Tribolium castaneum: one gene and its partner. The protein of the gene in region 2 purifies or fractionates together with the protein of the main gene of each other region. This does not show direct contact. Links are inferred from orthologs where the notes say so. Each region holds a gene or a part of one and is shown on either strand. Other genes may lie near its edges.

Region 1 (7,933 bases), on a different chromosome or scaffold from region 2:
AGCCCATCTGGGTCCCTGGTCGTAAAGTTTCAAATTAAGTAGACTTACAATGAGACAACTATTTTTGGACTAGGGTAAGACGATCGGTGGCAATAGCACCTTGAACCTGCTTGAACCCAGAAAGTCGAGATTAAATGCGAACGCCGTTGTAAATATTAATTGTTGTGAATAAATATTTACGTCATCAAGGGGAGAAGTCTCACTGGGACACGACCCTGTCCCCAGCTCGTGATGAATAGGTGTTTGTTCGAGATTATTTAATTAATTGTTGTTTTTGTCCTTACTGACCAACATCGATAAAAGTTCACATTTCAGGAACGTTTTCCATGTCAAAGCGAACAAATATTTATTTACTGACACTTGTACGTGCCAGAAAGTTTTTAATTTATTTATTGCGACTTAATAACCAATAAAAAATATTTTGTATACAGCAATAATTCACTTTGCCACATAAATAAATATTTTGAAATAGAATACGTTTAATAATTACAAAATCGCCTACGATTGTAATTTGATTATTTTCTCACTTTATAGAGGATGCGATGTGTAAATAATTTGGTCTTGAAATTTAAATTTAGCCAAGTCAAGTTTACAATAATAGTATTTCAGGAAGAAAAATTTTAATGATCGCGCTACAAATACGAGCAATTATGAAAAATTCCTTTTAAATGGTTGCTCTAATAAATCTGCTTGGTACTAAAATAAAACCGAAAGCGTCCATAAATCTGGGTGTCATCGCGAACTCAGGGCCGTATTGAGTATTATCACGTAATCAACCTAATCACAGCTCCATTTAATTATTACAAAAATGAAACAGAACAATAGGTTTTTAACTGGGTCAAGTCACCAAAATATACGTTGTTTGTAACTATAGATCAATCTCAAATGCGGTGTTACCGTTTTTTTATCAAAATTCGTTTATTATTTACTTTTATTTTTTTAAACTTGAACTTTGTGTCTTCCGTTCTCCGCATTATTAAAATAAATAAGTGTGTAAAAATGCGTGTTACGCCAAACTTAACCTGAAATAAATAAATCACCAAATCCTGAATGAGCTCTTATCCCGCCTTTAATTATTTGTTTAGTCTAAATAAAACAAGGGCCTTTTTGAGCCTCTCCCCTTAATTGCCCCAATATAAATTGTCCCAACGCGCGCCAAACTGTGCGAAACCAAAAATAAATCCGGAAATGACTCCAATTTTCCCACACTTCCGCCTTAAAACCTTGCACAACTGCAATTGAATCGATTTAGCAGTCTCCAAATTGGGTCACGCAAGCCATATTTTCAGACCCATCATCACGACCTCCAAATTTCCGAAGCGCGCTACTCGCCTTGGTCCCCCTGGAGCCGTTGCATCGACTGCATTCAGAGAAGGATCAAGAAGTGTATTTCCCCCAAATGCGAGGATTCCCGCATTTACGAAGAAAAACCCTGCGGGAAGAAACGCTGCAAGAGGAAAGCGCGCCAGAAAAAACAATTCCGGGTCGTACAATTGAACGAAGTATGTTTGGGGGATTCACAAGTGTGTTTTTTAAGACGGATTCATTGTCTTAGGATAGTAGCCATTTGCTGCGTCAAGCGCCTTCTCGCATTTGGAGCAAATGGTCCAACTGGTCGCCCTGTTCGGAGAATTGCAGGACGCAGAGGATCAGGATTTGCAGGAAGCCGGGACGCTGCAGGAAGAAGCAGCAGGAGCAGACGGCCTACTGCTACCACGACAATTCCATGTGTGAAAACTACGTTCTGAACTTGTTGGATAACCAAGACGCATACGGTGCGTAAGGAATTATCCACGAATAGAAAACGGGTCCCTTTTTGTTCAAATATTTGCGGTTCAATAAATAAATAATCATAAAGCTGGTTAGTAAATAATGATAAAAATATATAAACACAGCGTTGGGCGAAAATATACCTAGAACCGAGCGATTTTTGCCAAAACTATTTGCTCTAGCAAAAAGATTATTAATACAATATCAAGTCCCTTAAAAATATGAAGGATAAAATTAGTTAATTTTAATTATAACAAAACCAATTTTGAATCACCCTCTAAGTATAGTAATCATTACGGACTAATGTACTACATTACCACTTGCTTTTTTCTAGTCCAGGTAAAAAAAAACGTTCTAGACCTAATAATTTCTGCTCCAAAAGCATTGTGCGCTGATTAAGAAGTTTCAAATTAGGCAGTTTTCCAAAATTAGAGTTGTGGTCACCTCATTAAAGCGGTTTCTGCATATGATTTCGTTTCCTTTTAAAGAAAGCAACCGCTACTACCACTACAACAACTTGGACCGCCGCCTCCCGCAGCGCCGCCGCTGTGGGCAGCCTTTCCGCAAATCGCGAATGCTGAAAATCATCGGCGGCACCGAATCGAAGAAGTACAAGTGGCCTTGGCACGTTGCCATTTTAAACAAATACTACGTAGGTATCCCGAAATGGGTCAATTTCAACGCTTGATAACCTCGGCTATAAATTTTAGGAAGTGTTCTGCGGAGGCACTCTCATAGGCCCACGTTGGGTCCTCACAGCTAGTCATTGCATACGTCCGATTTTACGCGTAAGACTGAACGAACATGACCTAAGGGCTCGAGATGGACGCGAGCTCGAGATGACTGTTCACACGATTTTCCAGCATCCGAAGTTCAACCACAAAACGGTGGATAATGACATTGCCCTACTGCAACTACCAAGGAGTGTTAATCTCCCCATCGCTTGCCTGCCCAAGACCAGGCCCAGGCCCTCGGAGGTTTGCTCCGTCATGGGCTGGGGCAAGGTCAGGACCAGCGACACCTACGGCACCCACACGCTGCACGAGGCCAAGGTGACTGCTATAATTTTTCTCCAAATTTCCAAAAGTTTTTTAATATACTATTTTTCCAGCTTCCTATTGTGGCGGCGAGCGTCTGCCGCCGTTCCTACCGCCACTTCCTCATCACCCCCAACATGTTATGTGCTGGTTGGTCGTCAGGGGAGGCCGACACTTGCGCCGGGGACAGTGGCGGGGGGCTCATGTGCCCCTTCAAACGGCGTTCAAGACTCGCATACAGCGTCCAAGGCATCACAAGTTTTGGGGACGGCTGTGGTTTGAAAAACAAGTACGGCATTTACACCACTGTGTTTAACTACCTAAAGTGGATCTATTACGTGATGGACCACTACTCATAATTCAGTATTCGCAAATTTAACACTTTTATAGCTATTTTTGACATTAACTGAGCAATAAACTTGATTTGTAAAAAGTGATGGTTTTATTGACCCGTCCGTCGTAATTGTGCTGACGCAAGGGGACAATGTCCTAGGATTTTTGGCACGAAATCAAACGCTTGTTCCTTTGAAATTGTATTTATTTATGAAATATAATACACAATGTTCAACATAATTCCAAACTCGGCTCACATTTAAAAACACACTTGACACCACAAGCTGGAAAATCATCAAATGCCGTTTTCCTTATAAAAAACAGACACACGCCCACTCATCCAATTAACTATTTTCGAATTGCTATCACATTTAAACCTTATTTTACGGTTCGCTCAAAAATCGAACATATCATCCGTGAACGAATCATCAGAGCCAGTCGACGTAGTCGTCCAACTATCAGACTCACTATCGAAGAAATTATCGTCCTCATCATTGTCATCATCATTGTTGGCGTTATTATCGTTGTTGTCGTTATTCCCGCCCACGTTGAGCATCAATCGATCTAGAAAATCAACATCGACTGCAAAACATTATATTACTTTTGCCACTTTTCTGCAATTACCATCATTATCGGAACCGTCATCGTCACTCCCATCCATATCATCATCCTCCTCTTCCTCGTCCTCTTCATCCTGCATCAAAAAATAAACAAAAACGCAACCACAACTTAAACTTTTTACTTGTTCATCCTCATCGTCTCGCTTCCTCCCGACATCATAGATCCGCACCACGGACTCTTGAACCGACTGGTAAACCCCCTGATTCTCCACAATCACAATTTGCGTATCGAACCGATTAACCGCCAAATCGTAGATGTTTTTCTTAACGTCAATAGTAGCAATACTCGAGTAATCGATCGCATCCACTGTTTTAAAACTCGAATCGAATGTCGAGTCACCATTATCCAATTCCTGTTCCATCGAAATGGCATAAATCGCACTATTGACCGGTGAAAAAACGGCAGTACGTTGATTCAAAACTGGCACTGTTTTCAACAAATGAAAAGTTCGCACATCCCAAACCTCAGTATTTGATACAATCTACAATTAACTATGTATTTCCCTAAGCAAAAAAAGCGAAAGTACCTCTAAGCCGTTAGGGTGGAACACCCCACTTTGGGTCTGATTCAACTTATCCAACTTGTGAATCTGTTTGCCCGAATTGACATCGAAAAGCACACCATCTGATAAAACCAAATCATCGAACGGGCTAAATGTGGCTTTATTTCTAGTGTATTGGTTACTATCTGTAGGAACTAAACGCAAGATTGATTGGCCCGTGACGGCGTCGTAAATCTAATTGAAAAAATTATAATTTGCCAAACTGTGAAGTGTTACTCACTGTTGCAACTTCAAGTTTAGTCGCCACAATCCGCTCCTGTGTCACTTTACTAAACTCAACATGTTCTTCATCGTCCAGCGCAAACCTAAACCACAAGTTAGACGCTAAATTCGCAGAACCGAACATTTCTGGTCATCGAGTGGTCAAATCAGACCACCAACTGTATGGTTTTATACAAACGGTTAAAAAAATCGCTTTGCGAGTTGAATTAATTTTTTAGACAATTGTTTTTGATATTTTCGAGTTTCGCAAAAAAATTTTAAGTTCGACTTAAAGTAAAAAACTTACTTCATCTCGGAGTTCCTTATGGCCCAGAGTGCGGACAGAGGCCGCCCCCACGTGGAACTCGTCAACAGAAACTCCCCACTCCTGTTAGGCTCCAAATGAACGATATAATTATCGTGCGTTTGAAACATAAACTCTTCATTTCCAGTATGCAGATTAAAAATTCGTATATCACCACTGTAATCACCCACGATTATGCTTTTATCACCCGGTAAAAATTTCGCACAAGTGAAGAAATCGCCATCGGACGACGACCGAATCGTTTGAACTGGACAAAATCTCGAATGAATAAATTTCCGGTCCATAGACTTGGACTGATACCCAATAGCACGTCGCGCACACCTCACCACAAAATTATTGGCTGAGGCTATCTTTGGTTTAGGGTCTGGGCATTTATGTGGACTAGAAAACACCATCAGAAACACAACCAATCATAGGAGTTTAAACTTACATAAAGAGATTGAATTTGGGACAGTTGGCCATGGGGTTTTTACATAACGCATGCTGATTGGTTAAATACTCGGTTATGATCGAATCGAGCGTGACTCGGGGCTGTTCGGGTGGATTCGTCGGTTCGTCAAGCAAGCTCTGACTCGGCACCCTAACTACAACATCGCTATTCGTTTGTTTCTGTAATCGGGAGTTTTGGACCGGTGGTGTCGCGACCACTTGATTTTGGTGTTTCCTGAAATTTTTTCTTAGCAAAAAATATGATAATTATCTACAATGACGACCATACTTTATTAATTTAATAGCAGGGGAAGTACAGTTGGAACTATTAATAAACGATGTCTCCTCCTTTTGCACTGGTGACTGCGGTATTGTGCGGTGTTGCATTGGAGTGAAATTTAACTTAAGCTAAGACATTTGTTACACTTAATTATAGCTTTGGTGAATTGCTACTTACCCTAGATGGTGTTAGAGTGGACGAGTATCGGAATTTGGTTGGTTGATTTGTTGAAATGGGCGTGACTGAGTTTCCCAAATTTGCTTCCTTCACTAACATAGAGGCCGTTTCTGGACAACCTTTCGTAATTAAATGTTGGTGGATGAGTTGTAACAATTGCCGATCATTGAATTGAATTTTAGTCTGAGCCACAACGTTAGCTCTATGTATGTTGGCTAAAGAAACTTCCAAGTCATTTCCCCGATGTTTCGTTTTCCCCGAAAGTCGTTCCAAAAGTTCAAGTGCATATTTTTGGAAAGTCACATGTTCTTGGCGTTTTTCTTGCAAAATTGGGTCCCTCATTAAATCTGCAATTAAGTCAGTTGTTACCCCACTCGGATTCGCCTCGTATCAAGACTTACTCTGCAGTTGTCCGCTCGTAAAAAGCGGTAATTTTGACACGATCTGTCGGACAGTTTCCGACCGTGCTAAGCCGGCCAATGCTTTACAAGCCAAAGTTCGTATACAGTCCGCATCAGTGATTGGTGTTTTAATATTCATTAATTGCAACAAAACCATAATACCACTATTAGACCTGACACAATCCCAAACTCTCTGAATCAATTCTTCGCTACTTTTGAGTTTAATTTTCTTAATTGGGCTGTTAACCGTGGCCGAATATCGGGTTAAAGTACCACCAACCTAACAAAAAAATCAAACAAACGTCTGGAAACGGTAAAAAACGTACCCTATTTATGGGGGCACACACACAATTGACAATGACTCGAAGCGCAGCCTTTTGTACATCAGCATCGGCCACTATTTCACCCTCAGCGGCCCCCAAAATAATATTAATCCCTACAGAAGAAAAAAACAATAAAAAATCCCAAAACTGTGATTTTCTCGTACCAACTGTGGCACTCTCCTCTGGCAATTCCACCCTATCACAAAATAACAATTGAACTTTAGGCATCACACACGCAATAGCCAACGTATCCAAAGCCGACCTGACCGTCTCAGCCCTCCCACTATAATTCCACTCATACGCAAACGCGATTATTTTCAACAAGAGTGTGATTCCCCCTAATTTGAGTAACTGATCAACTGGCGTCCAATGGCACCGAAACGGCATATATTGCAACAACGTTTCGACGTTCTGTTGCACCTCTTCAGGCGATGACTTGTACGGTTTGTAGCTCGGCTGCGCCGGTAAAGGCGGCTGTGCCATTTTTTCGTTAAGTCTAAGTTGTGATCTTTTAATTGGTTCTACTTTTAGGTTTAGATGAGCTTCAAGGTAACGACGGTATGCAACACAAACGTGGCGAACGATTTGACGAGCGGCGCACTCTTGATCTTCGTTTAGTTGAGTCGTATCGGTGTCCGGCAGTAAAATTGATAAAGTAGAAATCTGTACATATAACTCTAGCAAACAATTTTTTTTACTTGGGATAAACTTACCACATTGTGTAACTTTCGTAACCCATCATGAGCATCAAATTCCTCCAAAATCACTTTGAATTGAAACGTGAGACCGAAAAACATTATAGCATGACATCGGCCCGAATCGTGTGAGCATTCCAAAAGCCATAAAGCATACCTAAGATTTTTTTTAAATTATGAGTTTTAATTGATTTTACAAACTGTAAGGTATAACTTAGACTTACTTGACTAAACTGGTGATCATGTATTTCGGAAGCAGACAAACCCTCTCCATTGCCTCCTCACAATACCCCAAATAGTACAAACAAATCGAGACCCCAGTGGCTGATATTGACGGCCTTGGCACCTCCAGAAGTGCCTCAAGACCATCCATTTGAATAAACTCAATCGAGAATTTTTTGTGGCATAAAAGAGCAGCAAGATATTTCAAGGCTTCAAATGCAAGTCTTGCTTCTTTAGTCGCTCGGACATTCACATACTTTAAGACCAAACTAAGAGCGTCATTTTCGAAAACATGACTCAAAAACTCCTGATATTCACCCAACGGTGTCAAATAACGTAAAATGAGTATTTGACGCGTTGCTATAGTTGGCGGAAAAATTTGCACGGTTCCAATCATAAAACTTTCAAGCTCTGCCCACGACGAATTGCTCGTTTCGTTAAATAGGAAGGGTTTTTGAGGAGAGCCTTCATCAGCTTCGCTTGAATTGTGCTCCAGCTTTAGTTTTTTGCGTTTTTGGCCGCTTTCCGAATCTGATAACTGTATTAAACGTGAGACC
Region 2 (7,395 bases):
GCTGGTGGATTACGTAATTTGCGATAATATCCAACAAATGTGCTTTGTTGTCCCGATTAGGGAAAAAAATCAGTGATTAGTGGTACAGGGACTTGGAAATCGGCACCAAGTGGGGTCGCTGATGTGGCAACGCCGCACGCCTCGTCCGCGCCATCCTCGTCTAGCAAAAGACAGCAATAGAACGTTCTCGTTTGTGGGTCCGGTTGTCCGCAAAATAACTGTTAAAACGCTTGAAATACCCACCCGGTGAACGATTTCGAAACTAGCGCCGGTCCTATTCCCACTCGAACAACGCAATAAGTCGGCCCTTTTAGTTTCAAACCCGATTTAATTCAGCCCAGGTGAGCCAATTTTGCGAAATGGTGCGAAACGGTCACATGAACGGCCACGTCCCGCACTTGCGGCTCCCAGCAGCCCCGGGTGGCCGGTCAAGTGGCCTGTGCCCCGATCCTCGCTTGTTATGTAAGACGTGACTCGATTGATTTTCCGGATTTTCTCGGAAAATCGCGGTGGCGGGAGGGGTGGGGCGGCGTGGCCCCGTGGCGCGACCTTGGGCGGCCGCGGTCCCGTTGGGGTGCAATGGGGCCCCCAGGCGGGGGCCAACGCCGCTTGGTTGCGGTTGGGGTCGCGAGGTGGAGCTGGAGCCACTTCCACAATTGTCAAACTAAATCGGACAAAGTCAAGGTTAGGGTTATTTCTGAACGGGTCTATGGTTGCAGATAATGGCCCCACCACCGTACTCCGATCTCGGCAAGAAGGCCAAAGATGTGTTCGGGAAGGGCTACCACTTCGGGCTCATCAAGCTGGATTGCAAGACGAAGACTGGCTCAGGGGTGGAGTTCAACACTGGGGGTGTGTCTAACCAGGAGTCGGGGAAGGTTTTCGGGTCGTTGGAGACCAAATATAAGGTTAAAGAGTACGGTTTGACGTTCTCCGAAAAGTGGAACACGGATAATACTCTGGCTACGGAAGTTGCGATCCAGGATCAGCTCCTCAAAGGCTTGAAGTTGTCCTCAGATCTGACCTTTTCGCCACAGACTGGGAGCAAGTCAGCTCGCGTCAAAACCGCGTTTACCAACGATAGGGTGGCCCTCAACTGCGACGTTGATTTGGACTCCAGTGGGCCCTTGATCCAGGCGGCTGCCGTCGTGGGGCACCAAGGCTGGCTGGCGGGTTACCAAACGGCTTTCGACACCCAAAAGTCCAAACTCACCAAAAACAACTTCGCCCTAGGTTTCTCCACTGGAGACTTCATTCTCCACACTAATGTGTAAGTGATCAGTGGCGCACTCACAAGTTTTTTGAGGGGGCCAAACATTAATATTCACAAATTTGTATAAAAATTTAAAAACATCTTCTTCGTGGACTCAAAATATGTAAAACTTCATCACAAATTACTTCAATACCGCGGTGGATTTATAAAGAAATTAAACCATTTAATCTATTTTGTCCTGTAGTGTTCAATTTTTTCCGAATTTAAAAATTCTGTAATATTTTTGTAAATCTTTCTTCTAAGTTTGAAATTGCTGAATCTAAAAGAGGGTTGAAAATTGAAATTTAATAATACATTTCTGGCGAATCAAAGGTTACATTGGTTCGATGTATTTGCCTTGAAACTAATCAGAGTACCAAAATTTCGTGTAAATGATTTTGGACGGTTTTAAAAGAATTCAAAATGGGATTCTGCGTCTTTTCGTAATAATTTTAAAGAATAGAACAACTTTAAAGATTTTTTTGTTTCTTTTACCGTTTTATCCAGAAAAAAGTTTACTGACGTTTTATTTTTATACACACCTACTTACGCGACGCATGTTTGTTTTTTTTTAATGTATATATAAACAAGTTTAAAATTTAAATCATGTAACCCCCCCGGGTGTGCCACTGTAGGTGATACCAACCTGACTGTCCCAAACCCCGCCAGATCCCGAGGGGCCCTTTATCTCCCTGATCCCCGTTTAAATCCCCTTTTGTAACGTTTAGTGATCACAGCGATGACGGCCAGGAGTTCGGAGGGTCCATTTATCAGAAGTTGTCCCCAAAGTTGGAGACCGGCATCCAGTTGGCGTGGTCTGCTGGCAGCAACAACACCAAGTTCGGAATAGGGGCTAAATACGACTTGGATCAAGACGCCGCGATTCGCGCCAAGGTCAACAATTCCAGTCAGATCGGTTTGGGGTATCAGCAGCGTTTGCGTGAAGGTGGGTAGTTGGGGGAGGTTGGTCGGGGGTTGATTGGCTTTGTTTGGTTGGCAGGTGTGACTCTAACTTTGTCGGCCCTCATTGACGGCAAGAACTTCAATAACGGCGGCCACAAGATCGGTCTGGCCGTTGAGTTAGAGGCTTAATCAGAGATTCGTCAGTTCCAAATTGTATTAGAACCAAGACACGTTTCAGCCTGCTGTATTGTAGATATTTTAATTGTTCTATGGGACTTTTTAGTATTAAAACATATACATGAATACGTCTTGTATTTTCAGTTTGTAGTAGTTTTAGTGAAGTCGTCCTTTTGTTACCGTTTCCGGATACTTCTCAAAAAATTGCTACTTCCCACACGTGTTTTTTACTTGTGCAAGCTTTTAATTCAATTGTTTTATGATTATGACAAGTATTGTAAAACAAATAAAATGTAATTTACAAAAGACACGTTTCACTTAAGATCCATCTGCTCCTCCATCACCTTACTGATCCATTCGGGCTCGCTTTTTGCGATTGATTCAATGATTGAATTCACCTGGTAGCAGAGAGACTGGATTTGTTTGTCCCACTGGGGCAAAGTTTCACGAGCTGGAACAAAGCGATCAAATACACATCGTAAACAACACCAGCTTTAGTACTTTCAAAGTGGACGATTGAATCGATTTGGTCAATGTAACCGTTCATTCGCCCTTCGGTTATCATCTGACTTGCGATTTTTTCAGCCTTGGAAGGGTGTATTTCGAGCAAAGCTCCCAACTCTTCGAAACTAATATTATTATAAAGTTTACTAGCAGACAGGAGATTGTGTTCGATAACGGCGCGGTCCAGAATTGTTGACCCATCAATGGTGCTCGCCTTTTGGTGGGGCTACAATGAATCGACAGTTTTATAAGAGGTCGCTTAACCTTTGCAACATTGTGATAATAAAGCGTTAGTTAATTCCCGTTAATTAAGCAAGTGATAAGACCTGCAATTACGGCAAACAACTCATGCATCACTGTGTTTACAAAGTGTGACGATATTAAACAATAAAGAGTATTATCCTCAATTAGTTGCTCCGTTGCATCACATTACTTTTTTATTCTCACACGTAAATAACCTCGTGAGATGTTATATAGATGATCAGTTTATTATTAGATTTCTGGAATCCGTCTCGGCGCGCATTATTTCGACGTAGACAAATATCGACGTCAACAGTATTATGAAATTCATTTTTTGTAAATAAAAAATCAATTAAATAAATATGAAATCAATTAAGAACTTTAATTAAATCGTTTTTATTGGTACTAAACCTAAGTCAAAAGTAGACAAAGGTTAAATTTAACGCAGCTTTGCTTAAATTAAACTCACAGTGGAGTTCATCGGCATTTACAAGGAGGAAATATCAGTAGATAACTTAACACACATTTCATTTTTCCCTGTGTGAACTATTTAAAGCACATGCATTACACAAAGTGTAACCGTAATCCGGCTCTGATTAAACAGAAACCTAAAACGTGCTAAACCAGCAATCTTATTTCACCATAATACTTTAATGAGACAAAAAAATGTTCCTAAAATGACATCGGGAATAAATCATCTGAGAAAAAAGTTAGGGTTACAGTGAAACCTCCCATAAGCGGACACCGACATGCTTTTTGTCCGCTTAATGGAAAAGAAATAGCAATTTATATATAAAAACAAACTAAAATAAAAGGCTTCGCTTTTCACAAACGTTACACTTCCATAAAACATGTACTACCTACTTATGTGATTCCCCGATTTTTTTGATCAATTGTCATAATAACTATTAATCACACGCGCGTATGATGTGCTGTCCGCTTAAAGGAGATATTTTGTTTCCAAGGATTTGAATTGCATTGTGCGCGTCCGTTTATTGGAGCGTCCGCTTAAAATACATTATCTAAAAAAAGGCCCGTTTGTCAGAGGGGTCCGCTTATCGGAGGTGTCCCTTAAGAGAGATATTACTTGTGTTGGTATTTGAATACATTCATCTTCATTTTATGATTATACGTTTGTAAGGGTGATAATTAATAATAATAATTTTATTTATAATATTAATAATAATTAATAATACTGATTATCAAATTAACAAATGGTATTAGTATTTTTATTGCTTTTGCAGATTTTCTTTAAAACTTGTTTCAATCAATTTAATTCAAGATGATACTTTTATGTCAATAATTTTTCAGTATTTAATTGTACAAAGGACTCAAAAAAATACAAATTTATCATAGTTATGCAACTAACAATACAACACTTTTTATACACGTACCTGCAACAAGGCCTCAAAATCCCTCAATTCGGACCTCCTGATGATTCTTTCGAGGTACATTTTTTCCAAAATCGCCACTGCTGGCAACTGTTGGCACCTCTCGTCCTTGAACAGTGTGGCCAACATGCGCGATCTTTGTTGCCCCGCTGAAGCCAAAACAGTGCAAACTAAAGCATTCCGAAGGGCTGTCATGCGTTCATCTTCATGAACAATCGTCCTATAGGACAATTCATTGTATCTCTGAGCCGCCTCAATAAACTTCCGCCGATAATCCAAAACTCGAGCATAACAAACTTTGTAATAAATTTGAAGCTGCTCATTCCGTGACTCGGCCTGAAGCAGCGACGCCCGGTTGATGAAAGCCTCAGCCTGGACCGGATCGTCATCCTCAAGATACAACCTCGCGATTTTCAAATACGTTTCAAGTTTGTAATCCACGGTGTATTGTTTCTGGCCGGTTTCGAGCGGGATTCCCACCAGGACAGCTGCAGCCTCGCGCCACATGTGGTTACGTTCGTAGATATCGGCCAAATGTTGGCGAATACTTGCCACCTGCTCCTCAAACGAAATAACCCGGGGTTGCACCTTCTCAAGCATAAAGTGTGAGACAGTTTTGGAAACATCGTCGGGTAGTTTCATCAAATGCGAGCTTATTTCGGTCAGGATTTGGCGCGAGATGACCAAACTAACGTTCTCATTGACAACTGAAACGACTTGAGTTAGACTGGGTTGGTGGCTGTGGGGGGTACGGACTTGCTTCGATGAATATCTGCAAGCCTTCGGTCAGCTCGGGGCCCGAACCGGCGAGGATGTTCTCAAGAATACCGCGATATCTGTTAAAAATTAATGTTTTTTTTAATTTTTTTTACATAACCTCACTTTTCGGCCTGGTCTTTGTGGGAGCCCCCGGACGCGATTATGTTGGAGAGTTGGGTGCGGATAGCCGCGCTTTTCTCCGACATGGTGCTCCGCTACTATTTTGGCCACAAATAATAATAAATTATTTTAATTTAACTAAAAGTAGTTTTTGACAAATGACTGACAAAACAGCAATTGCCAACACAACGCTATTGCCGGTTGTGGTAATTTTGTCTAAAAAACACACTTGCAAGTAAATTGTTGTCTTTGCTCTGTAAATAAATACTTGCGACCAATTGCAAGTACAGTTTACTTTAATTAACGTGTGAATAAGGGGTTAAGGGGAAGACGATTTGATTTAATAGGTTGGCTGCACGTGTTGAAGTCAAACTCAAACGTCACGGATGTTTGCTGTCACCCGCCTTTAAATTAGTCACTTAATTAAATTGCAATAAACAGAAATAGTCCAGTGTGAGTGCGAAAAATGCCTTCTCCGCAACAAAACGAGAGTTCCCCCGAGCCCGGTAAGAGAATTCGTTACTTTCGTCGAAAGTCCATGCTCATTGTTAGCCCCAGAGACGTCCACTTCGAACGACAATAAGGAAAAAGGGGCCACTGTCAACGAAATAATGGTAATAGACCCGGACACCCTTGAGCTGGACCTAAACCATGGCAGGATCAGCAAGCTCGAAAACCTTGAGCCCTTGACACAAATCGAGCGCCTCTTCCTGAGGTGGAATTTGATCACCAAAATTGAGAATTTGGACACGTTAGTCACGCTCCGCGAATTGGAATTGTACGATAACCAAATCGTCAAAATGGAAAATCTGGGATGTTTGGTTAATTTAGAGTAAGGAGTGACTCATTTGTGAATGTTGCGAAATATGGCTTTAAAAGGATTCTAGATTTGTCGTTTAATCGTATCAAGGAGATTGAGGGACTGGAGAATTTGCACAATTTAGAAAAACTCTTCCTGTCGTCGAACAAAATCAGCAAAATCAAAAATGTGAAGCACTTGCAGAAGCTGACAATGCTGGAGCTGGGGGACAACAAAATTAGGGTAAGTGTTTATCCTATGGAGGATAATAACTTAGGAGACGAAACTGCGCCGTATTCCCAGCGTTTTGATAAATGTTATCGCTTAGAATTATCAATTTGCGTTCCACCTTATATTTCTGCGAGCTCTGCGAATACAGTTGAAGATACAAAAAAAGTGTAAGGAACAAAGTTGTAGAGAATAAAATTTTCTACAAAAAAGTCCGCGACACCATATTTCTATCTTTAATAGTTTAGGTACGAATTAACTTTCCAATACTTGACCACCGGCAAAATTAAGGAAATCCGTTGCTTGAGCGTCTTTGAACGACTTTGGGGCCTAAATGGTTCAAGATAGGAACATGGTCTCGCGGACTTTTTTGTAGGAAATTTAATTCTCTACAATTTTCTTCCTAACATTTTTCTTGTATCTGTAACCGTATTCGCAGCGTTTTGAAAAATATCTGACAGAGTGCAAAATTGGTAAAAGTTTACGATAAAATTTTTGCACTGTGTTTATCTCTGAATATTGAGAATTTAATGCTATATCTGCCTGTTTTTTTTTGTTTGCTATGTGTGAACAGTAATAAAAATACAACCATGTTTTGAAATGCGCCCTCTGGCGACATTAACGGAGCTATCGAGGACGAGAACGTTTTATTTGTACGTCGTTTCATATTCTAACCTTTAGATCTTCGTAGTTTATCCTTTGAGTGTTTTCAGTTGTTAGTCATAATCTGTGACTTCTAAAACCGTCCTAATTGCAGGACATAGAGAACCTGGAAAACATGCCAGCCCTGACCCACCTCTACTTGGGCAAAAATAAAATATCAAAAATAAAAAACTTGGACAGTCTGACCAACGTGACGTGTCTGAGCCTGCAAAGCAACCGAATAACGCGTATCGAGAATTTGGATAAGCTCACACAATTGACCGAACTGTACATTTCCGAGAACGGAATTCATAAAATAGAAAATCTTACGCATAACACGTTGCTACAGACCTTGGATTTGGCGAAAAATAAAATAAAGT

What was found. The genes of interacting proteins can lie anywhere in the genome.
Region 1: the proteins of CSN4 (region 2) and mahj purify together in Homo sapiens (affinity purification with mass spectrometry; 4 studies listed by BioGRID, with this or other methods). This does not show direct contact. The link is inferred for Tribolium castaneum from reciprocal best matches to the Homo sapiens genes COPS4 and DCAF1.

The regions. Positions count from the first base shown.
Region 1 is NC_087398.1:979,751-987,683, forward strand, and holds the end of mahj (protein mahjong), read right to left. Parts: intron 7,915-7,933; coding exon 7,379-7,914; intron 7,312-7,378; coding exon 7,173-7,311; intron 7,123-7,172; coding exon 6,624-7,122; intron 6,573-6,623; coding exon 6,463-6,572; intron 6,417-6,462; coding exon 6,137-6,416; intron 6,083-6,136; coding exon 5,736-6,082; intron 5,687-5,735; coding exon 5,568-5,686; intron 5,514-5,567; coding exon 5,280-5,513; intron 5,231-5,279; coding exon 4,832-5,230; intron 4,629-4,831; coding exon 4,544-4,628; intron 4,498-4,543; coding exon 4,288-4,497; intron 4,243-4,287; coding exon 3,883-4,242; intron 3,835-3,882; coding exon 3,765-3,834; intron 3,723-3,764; coding exon 3,535-3,722; 3' UTR 3,325-3,534; downstream 1-3,324. Other genes in the region: trypsin-3, read left to right, coding at 1,290-1,502, 1,556-1,775, 2,259-2,422, 2,481-2,822, 2,882-3,166. UniProt on the Homo sapiens protein: Acts both as a substrate recognition component of E3 ubiquitin-protein ligase complexes and as an atypical serine/threonine-protein kinase, playing key roles in various processes such as cell cycle, telomerase regulation and histone modification.
Region 2 is NC_087399.1:5,889,688-5,897,082, reverse strand, and holds the end of CSN4 (COP9 signalosome complex subunit 4), read right to left. Parts: coding exon of another isoform or gene 7,131-7,395; intron 6,389-7,130; coding exon of another isoform or gene 6,226-6,388; intron 6,179-6,225; coding exon of another isoform or gene 5,905-6,178; intron 5,853-5,904; coding exon of another isoform or gene 5,813-5,852; exon of another isoform or gene 5,698-5,812; intron 5,573-5,697; exon of another isoform or gene 5,433-5,572; coding exon of another isoform or gene 5,350-5,432; intron 5,304-5,349; coding exon 5,224-5,303; intron 5,175-5,223; coding exon 4,471-5,174; intron 3,063-4,470; coding exon 2,834-3,062; intron 2,784-2,833; coding exon 2,647-2,783; 3' UTR 2,554-2,646; downstream 1-2,553. Other genes in the region: voltage-dependent anion-selective channel, read left to right, coding at 720-1,270, 1,981-2,198, 2,253-2,344; sds22 (protein phosphatase 1 regulatory subunit 7), read left to right, coding at 5,813-5,852, 5,905-6,178, 6,226-6,388, 7,131-7,395. UniProt on the Homo sapiens protein: Component of the COP9 signalosome complex (CSN), a complex involved in various cellular and developmental processes.